Linked DNA regions of Sus scrofa. The protein of the gene in region 1 purifies or fractionates together with the protein of each later gene. This does not show direct contact. Links are inferred from orthologs where the notes say so. Each region holds a gene or a part of one and is shown in the gene's direction. Other genes may lie near its edges.

Region 1 (4,272 bases):
CTCTACATACCAGGATCCTGGTTTGCAGACAGAGCCATGGTTCTGGGGCCGCACAGAGCTGTTTCCCCTCTTTCAGCTGCTGTTGAATGAACTTCTCATAGCTCTCAGGGTTACTTTCAGCCAGATCATCTAGAAGGTTCCAGAGTTGAGTAACTTGGGTGAGCAGACCTTTTGAGGATTTCTCCATGATTGAGATGAATTAGGCCTCTTAAATCTGTGGAAAGACATTTGAGGGAAAAAAGGTCTACTGATTCATTTATTTTTGGGGGGAGGAGGAATACGTCAGGAATTGTTTTGTTGAAGTTAGCAACTATCCTTAATACCTGTGTCTAAAAGACTGTGGCTCAGCACCATTTTATCTTTTCCTTATTCTCTAATTATCTAGTACCACTTCCTACATTCTCAAGATGTTCCCTCAGATAATAAGGCCTTACCTCTGTCTAGAGCCTCAAAAACCCTAAGGGGACAGAGTAATCTTTTAAAGTTTGGATTTCCTGGAATTTTCTTGTTCCAGTATCCTGGTATTAGCTAAGTGGTGCCTATCCAGTTCCTTTATTTGCTAGAGGTGTGCTGTGGATTGAAGGCTACACAAGACTTCCTCAATCTTTGGTATAATCTAGTAGTTAACAGCATGGACTCTGCAGACAGAATGCATAGAATTCCAGTTTTAGCTCTATCCATCACTTACTAGCTGTGTGATTTGAGCATTTAATTTACATACATGTATCAGTTTATTCCCCTCTAAATGAAGACAATAATACCTATCTCGTAGGGTTATCGTGAGGATTAAGTAAGGTAACACAGAGAGGCTGAACACTTGCTAAGCCTTACATAAGAATAGTAATATTCTCTCCATGACTTGAGGTAACCTTCCTCCCTCCTCCTTCCCCTCAATGGAGACGTGTCCCATAGCATCGACAGAATGAGGAAAAGAGTAAGTTTGGGTTGCCTGAACACTACAGGAAGGTTAGACTAAAAGGGAAATGTAACTGTCTTTCCAGAGGTCGGCAAACCCACCTCCTCTCTTGGTTTCCTGACAAACCGCGACGCCTGTTACCGGGGTAACCATCTTGGTACAACATCTAATTGGGTCCGGGAAGCTCCAGGCAGAAAGTTCTTTTTACACCTAGTTCCGGAATCTTCTCCTTCTGGTGCTGGGCTTGCTTTCTGGCTGAGCCCGACCCACTTCTTTTCCAGGAGGGCGCTCACCTCCCTTTCTGCACCTGTTGACCTCTACAGTGTCCTGGAAACCCTCCTGTGGGAGTCTCTGTGACTCCTGTTGGTGGGAAGAATTTCTTAGGGGCACGACTTCCGGCCTGAAAAGGAAGTCGGCTTCCTTCTCCCCCAGATCCCTTCCTCCCCCTGCCCCCGTCACGCGAGGCTGCGGCGCACGGTATGGGTGTGTTTGTGTGTGTTTCTGTGGGGAGGGTGTTTGGAGGGAAGGTTACCGGGAGCTCCGCGGCCGCTGGGGGGCAGGGGTGCCGGTGACGAAGATGGGGGTATTTTCTGTGTCTTCCACTTGGAAGCCTCAATCCCCTCTTCAGCCACTCTAGGTACTTTTTGGGGCCCAGTCGAGGGGCGTCCCCGGCCAAAGCGTCCCCATCCTTTTGGGAAGGCGGAACCCAACCTCGGGGCCGTCCCAGAGGAGCGTGAGCGGGGAGTGCGCTAGCCAACTTGGCCGTCCGGATTCCGAGCCAGAGCAGCCTCCGGCCTCAGTCCGGAGAAAAATCTGCCTGTCGGCCTGGGCTGGGGAGAGGCGGCGGTGGCGAGGCCCACGGGTGAGGGCGGAATAACCGGTGGGAAGGCTGCGTTTTCACGAAGGACTCGGGTGAAGCTGCAGAGCTGCCTTTGAGCCCTGACTCCTTGGCTTCCTGGGTCGGAGGAGATCTTGTAATGGAGTGGTTCTTCGTCTCACACTAACAAGATGCCTGATTTCCTCAGGATCAAGGGGTGAGTGAGCGGTGGGGTGGTTGCACAAAGCCCTTGCTGGCTACACACGTGAATATCCCTGTCCTCTGTTTTTTGGAGGTTTCTGTCCAAAGTAGAATATAAGATACCCTTGAATGGAGAAATTTAGGGCATCTCGGCATTCGATGTTTTTAGACGTCAATTTTTGTTACTGTTGACATTTGTTTCGCTGACATTCTCAAATCTAGGTATTTACTTAATTGCAGACTAATTTTGGGATTCAAAAACTGGTTTCTAATCTAGACCTCGTTTGCCTTGGAATATGTGGCCTGGGGCAAGTTATAGCTTTAAGAGAATTTCACCTACGAAATAGGAATGAAGATACCTGCCTCATCTAAAACAATTACTTTGAGAATTAAATGATGTTCCTCAAAGCACTTAATTTGTGCAGTTTGAAAGAACTCCAGTGGTCATTACCTCCTTTCGTCCTCACATTGGTGTGGTCAGGTGTTTTCCCCTTTAGTGGTGAAGGAAAAACTATTCTGCACGACCTGTGACTTCAGTGATTTTCCCTTTAACTCATGCTTTATTAAAACACAGTAATAAAAATAAGGTAACATAGTGAATTATTATTAAAAGTTACTTATCGATTCATTTCAGATTGAAGAATGTCCCGAGTTCCCTTGGGGAAAGTCCTCCTGAGGAATGTCATCCGGCACACAGATGCTCACAATAAGGTGAGAGGTCCAACCTTGTGATTCCTCTTGCTTAATGAGGGCATACAGTGTGCCGTAAATTATTTTGGTACAGTTGGGAGATACATGATAAATCAAATAGAATTAGAATATAATTTGATAAGTATAATGGAGACATATACAAAGTGCTTTCATGCACTGAGGAAGGAATAATGAAATCTGCCTTGGGGAATTAGGAAAGGCTTCATAGAATGGGTGGTATTTGAGCTTCTGATATTTGAACTGGTTCTTGATGAGCAGGCTCTAGTGTACCAGGTGGAAAACATTATTCAGGGCAGAGGGAAAGTCATGCACTAGCATATACAAGGAGCGTAAAGAACTTGGGGCAAGAGATTGTATGTATCCAGAGAGAAGAGAAGGGGGACCAGGGGCGGGGGGGGGATGGCAGAAGATGAGGTCTGAGTGGTAAATTACAGTTAGATTTTGGTGCTTAGAGATTAGACTTTTTCCTCGAGGCAGAAAAGAAACCATCACATTTTTTGTGTTTGTTTTAATTTGTTATGAGAATTTTTTTTTAAAATGTCTTTTTCTTTTCTTTTTTTGTGTGTTTTTGCCATTTCTTGGGCCGCTCCCGCCACATATGGAGGTTCCCAGGCTAGGGGTTGAATCGGAGCTGTAGCTGCCTGCCTATGCCAGAGCTACAGCAAAGCGGGATCCAAGCTGTGTCTGCAACCTACACCACAGCTCACGGCAATGCCATATCCTTAACCCACTGAGCAAGGCCAGGGATCGAACTTGCAACCTCATGGTTGCTAGTCTGATTTGTTAACCAGTGAGACACGACAGGAACTCCATAAAAATGTCTTTTTCTTTTTACTGCCACAACTGTGCCATGTGGAATTTCCTGGGCTAGGGGTCAGATGGAGCTGCAGCTGCTGGCCTACGCTGCCATAGCAGCACTGGATCCTCAACCCACTGAACAAGGCCAGGGATCAAACTTTCATCCTCAGAGTTCCCGTTGTGGCTCTGATTAACGAATTCGACTGGGAACTATGAGGTTGCGGTTCGATCCCTGGCTTCACTCAGTGACTTAAGGATCTGGTGTTGCCATGAGCTGTGGTGTAGGTCGCAGACGTGGCTTGGATCCCAAGTTGCTGTGGCTGTGGCATAGGCTGGCAGCTGTAGCTCCGATTAGAGCCCCTAGCCTGGGAACCTCCATTTGCTGTGGGTGCAGCCCTAGAAAATACAAAAAAAAAAAAAAGAAAAAACCTTGCATCCTCATGGACACTATGTATGGTTCTTAAGCCACTGAGCCACAATGGGAACTTCTTTAATTTTTTAAAAAAATTTAAAAATTTAAGAAATTTTTAAAAGTATCATTGAGCTACAATGTTGTGTCAGTTTCTGATGTACATCAGTGTTCAGTTTTAGATAAGTGTATTCATATATATTCTTTGTCATATTATTTTCAATTATGGCTATTAAATATGTTAAATATAGTTCCCTGTGTAATATAGGAGGACCTTGTTGTTTATCTGTTTTATATATAGTAGTTTGTATATGCTAATCCCAGACTCCTAATTTAGCCTTTCCCCATTCCCTTTCTCCATTGCTAATCATAAGTTTGTTTTCTGAGGGAGTTCCCATTGTGCCGCAGTGGAAATGAATC
Region 2 (4,590 bases), on another chromosome or scaffold:
AGTCAGGCAGAGAAAAATGGAACTGGAGGGGGTAGAGGTGATGTCGGCCAAACTTGGAGGGTAGAAAAAACTGAAAGACGGGCATCTCAAGGAGAGCAATGTGTAGGGAAAGGCCCTGGTCAGATAATAATCATATTGAGCACTCAGTATCTGCTAGACACTGTTCTAAGTGTTTTTCATGGTTTATTTTGTCTAATCTGCTCCATAGTCGTGTGAGGTAGGTGCCATTACTGCTTTTATTTTGTAAAATCCACAGCATAGAGAGGTTAAGTTATTGGCCCAAGGTAACACAGCTTGTAAGTAGCAGAGCTGGCATTCAAACACGGAAGGATCTAGCTTCAGAGTTTGTTCTCTTAATTGTATCAAGAAGGAGGAAGCAGGGCCTCACCTAGAAAACAGAATATGAAAAAGGATTGGATTCAAAGCAACCCAGGCTGAGTGATTAAAAAATGTGGGATGGAAAAGCAAGACCAAAGAAAGGCCCAGAACATCAAGGAGAGAAGAGTGTTCAGGGCTAGAAGGCAACCTAATAAAATAGGCCAAAGTTTGGTTGGCCACCCCACCCTCAGTCCATACCCAACTCCTAGCCTGTCCCTTCAAGGCAGGACTCTCACAATTCTCCTGCTCTCTGTCCTCCCAAACCAAACCAAGGTATTTCTATGGTCTCAAAGTGTCTCCACACATTTTGCTTATTAATTACAAAGGGAAAAATAGGAACTTTACAGTGAGTAACTTGGCTGACTCCAACTTAACCAAGTGAGGATATGAACATAAAGAGAGTTCTTAGGGAAGGTTCTGGAAGGATATTTTGGGGAAAATGTAAGATAAGGGTTTTGTGGATGAAGAGAGAAGGGGAAGTCTGGAGGTTCAAGAGTCTGTGGGTGGCAGGGGAGAGTCTATCAGGGAAGATGGGCTGTCTCTGGGAGGGGTGGGGAAATCAGGAGTTGGAGAGGTTCTGAGTGAAAAGAGCAAGTTTCATGAGGGAGGGACTTGATGGGAACAGTTTGGGTGACAAAAGTGTCACAGCAGGGTCGGTATGAGAGGTCTGGTGGTGAAACTCTGGATGACGAAAGGGTAGAGAGCTTTGGGGTAGGGGGTCTCTAGGAGAGTCCTGGAAGAGTAGGCGAGGGGGCAAGGCTCTAGGACAGCAGCCTGTGGGCGGGGAGGCCCTGTGATGAGCGCTTTCTGCCAGACCAAGGATGGGTAGATTTGGAAGGGGATCCTGGAGGGGCGGGGTCAGGGGCGGGACCAGGCCGGCGGGCGGGTCCCCCCGCGCTGCAGGGGGCGCTGTGAGGCTGGGCGGCCCCGGGCCGGGCGTCGGCCGCTCCTAGTGAGCGCGGCCCCTTTTCCGGGTTTCCTCCTCCTCCTTCTTCGCCGCCGCTGCCGCTGCCCCTTTCCCGGCCGGCGGCTGCCGCTGCTGGTGCCGCCGACGCCGCCGCCGCCGCCTCGGGGCCGCGAGCCGAGCGGAGGCCGCCGCGGAGCGCGAGCGCCATCCGCCCCGCCGTCCCGCCGGCAGCTCCAGGGCCCGGCCGGCTTGGCCGGCGCCCCCCGCGCCCCCAGCCCGCCCGCCCCCGCGGGCCCGGCCTGGCGCGGCCGCCCGCCGCTGCGCTCCTCCTCCTCCTCCGGCGGCCCGCGGCCCGCCGCCTCCTCCGCCCGCCGCCCCGCGCCCCCCGTCGCGCCGCCGCCGCCGCCCTCGGCGCCCCGCGACGCCCCCCGGTCCCGCCCGCCATGCCGGGCCCGGCCGCGGGCAGCAGGGCCCGGGTCTACGCCGAGGTGAACAGCCTGAGGAGCCGCGAGTACTGGGACTATGAGTCTCACGTCCCGAGCTGGGGGTAAAGCCGCCGCCGCCCCCCGCCGGGCCCTCTCACTCCCACCCCCGCCCGGCCGTCCCCCCACCCCCCGCGCAAACCGCACTTGTCCCCCGCTGTCTATCTCCTCGCCTGCCCCTTTGCTGGGCCTGCGCTTCTCCGGTCTGGGGTGGGAGGTCCACTCCCCCCACCAGTGCCCTCGTCTTCCTCTCCTCCCTTCCGCTTCTCCCTCCCCGTTGTGCGTACCCCTTACCCCAGGGTATACTTCCTTACAAGTGTAGGGGTCCAGGGACCAGAGCCCGGTGGGAGTAAGGGAGCAGCCTTTCCTTTTACGCTTTGGGGTTTCTATTGGGGTGGGAAGTCAGCAGCTGTCCTCTTGAGCTATTAAAATTCTTTGCTTTTCTATTTTTTTGAAATGAGGATGGGTGGGAGGAAATTTTTTAAGGATGTCCAGATTCGCAAGGCAGGCGGTGTCTACCTTCTGGGTGTGCAATAGAAGGCAGGTGCTGGGCGGAGGGGCACCTCTGGGCCTCCGGGATGGATGCTTTGCTCACCTCTAGATTGAGTCAGACCCGTGCCTTCCACCTTATCTCCCCTAAGTTATGAGGGACCAATTAGGTTAGGAACTGCGTCTAGTGCGAGGAGCCAAGTTTATGTTGTGGCTTTCATTTAGGGAATGAGTTGTGGCATGATGTGTAGACACTTCCAAGTGCTTGATTAATGGAAGCGCCTGGATGGGGTGTGTAGTGGGCATAGGCTTGGTTAATCCTAAGTCCTGCCATTTATATTTGTCGCTCTTGGCTTTCACAGTAATCAAGATGATTACCAGCTGGTTCGAAAACTTGGTCGGGGAAAGTATAGTGAAGTATTTGAGGCCATTAACATCACCAACAACGAGAGAGTGGTTGTAAAAATTCTCAAGGTGAGTGTCTTATGAGCGGCGTTAAAGTTTCTTTTTCACAGGTCAGAAGGATATGAACTATTTCAGCCACATTCTCCAATGAGCAGTTTGAGCTCTCATTTTGCATCTGTTCTGTCTGATGTCCCTCTCCTACTCCTCCCACCTCATTTTCCTGTGAACTTTCAAGAAAATCTGCAGAAATAGGCAGACCTGTTTCAACTCTAAGTGTGATGGTTCAGGAACATGCTTGTTCTGAAATGTAATTAAAGGCTTCCAAAGTGAAACTTCCAAAGGGGCTCCATTTATTAGAAAATAAATAGGCATTCAGAAGCAAAAAGAGCCTTTTCATGAAGATCCTATCAACGCAAAGGCTCCTCAAGTACTGTATATGTTATTCCAGAAAGTTGTAAAAAAGTAGCTTCAAGGATGCATTTGAAACCTGAGTGGAGGGAACCACTCCTGTGGAAAAATGACTTGTTTTTTCCTTCTTGGTGTTAAAAGTTTCAGGTAAGATGGATATAGTGAGCCAGTAGTGCCAGGAAGATTCATTGTTGCTTATCAGCTAGTAAACGTGAAGTTGGGTTGTTTTGAATTAAAGCAAAACAACCTGTCTAGTTTATAGAACCCTGAATTTGTTAAAGATACCTTTTGTCATCTCTTGAAGGAAGGCTTGATCTTGATGAACATGAAGAGTTGGCTAAATTCTCTTCTGAGTAACTGGTTGTGTAGCTTTGATAATGTGTCAAAGGCATATAAAAAATAATTCTTAGACTCTTTTCAATGATCATTGCCTGATCATTTAATGTGCGTGCATGTCATTTAGTGAAATCACGAGAAGACCAAAGAGTTGATTAGTAGGAGCATATAAGCACTTTCACATATACAAGAGTTCCAATGTGGCCATTTTGGAGAGGCTCTGCGAACAAGAATGTAGGATTGAAAAGCTGTTTTTGTGCCTTAAGTAAAGTTGGGGCAGCTGTGTCCCGATTTAAAAAGGGAGGTCAGGCTTCGACTATCAGAAAATCACCTTTCAGAAAAGTGATTGACTCTGTTACTGCTACCATTCTAGCCTTGTGATGAAGAGGCAGGTTTGCAGAGAAATAGGCAAGTTATTTGTGCTGTCAGAAACACTGGGGGGGAGATGTGAGGAATTGATACTGAAGATAGGGAGTTTGACTCTCCTCTTCCCTAAATATGAACTGCTCCTACAAAGTCACGTGGTCTTTATTTTTTTTCTTCACAAATATTTAAAGAAATATTCCCATCAGAGAAGTCACCTGGGAAACCATACAGTTTTTTTCTGTTAAACATTAGCATAAATGTTTTTAATAGAGCTACTTAAAATCTCTCTAGGAAATAAGCAAGGCATAAATTGACATTAGGAGTACCCATATCCCACTGTTGTGCAATCAGAAGAATAAACTGCTGACTCTAAAGCAATTCCAGAAAAATGTCTAAACTTTGATGTGATGGTAGCATTTTTAGAGTAAGTATGCAACTTCCTGTGGCGTCTTTTGAAAGGGAACCACATTCAGGTGTGTATATAAGTAATAGTACATTCATTTAGGGAAGTGTCATATTGCCCTTTTGTCATCCTTGTGGAGAACTTCATAGCCTCAGTTGCTGGATAGTTTTCCCCTGCTCTAAAGATTTATAGGATATGTTTAGGGTACCCGATATGGAAACTGAAGGACATTTTTAACCAACCAGAAATTTAGGCACCAAGAAGCATATCTAACGTCACTATGTTGAAATAACCCTTGGCCAGAACTCCTGTTTCCTATTTTTTTCCTCTCTCTTACTGTTTGTTTTAGTGTTAGGTTGTAAGATCTTAACATTGAGCACAGAGTAAGTTCCAGTGTTCTAGAATAAGTCTTGGGA

The links.
Region 2: the proteins of C9H11orf57 (region 1) and CSNK2A2 purify together in Homo sapiens (affinity purification with mass spectrometry; 5 studies listed by BioGRID and IntAct, counting the BioPlex papers as one, with this or other methods). This does not show direct contact. The link is inferred for Sus scrofa from reciprocal best matches to the Homo sapiens genes NKAPD1 and CSNK2A2.

Annotation. Positions count from the first base shown.
Region 1 is NC_010451.4:39,774,322-39,778,593, forward strand, and holds the start of C9H11orf57 (uncharacterized protein C11orf57 homolog), read left to right. Parts: upstream 1-1,257; 5' UTR 1,258-1,393; exon of another isoform or gene 1,394-1,950; intron 1,951-2,568; 5' UTR 2,569-2,576; coding exon 2,577-2,645; intron 2,646-4,272.
Region 2 is NC_010448.4:20,013,863-20,018,452, reverse strand, and holds the start of CSNK2A2 (casein kinase II subunit alpha'), read left to right. Parts: upstream 1-1,728; coding exon 1,729-1,832; intron 1,833-2,618; coding exon 2,619-2,730; intron 2,731-4,590.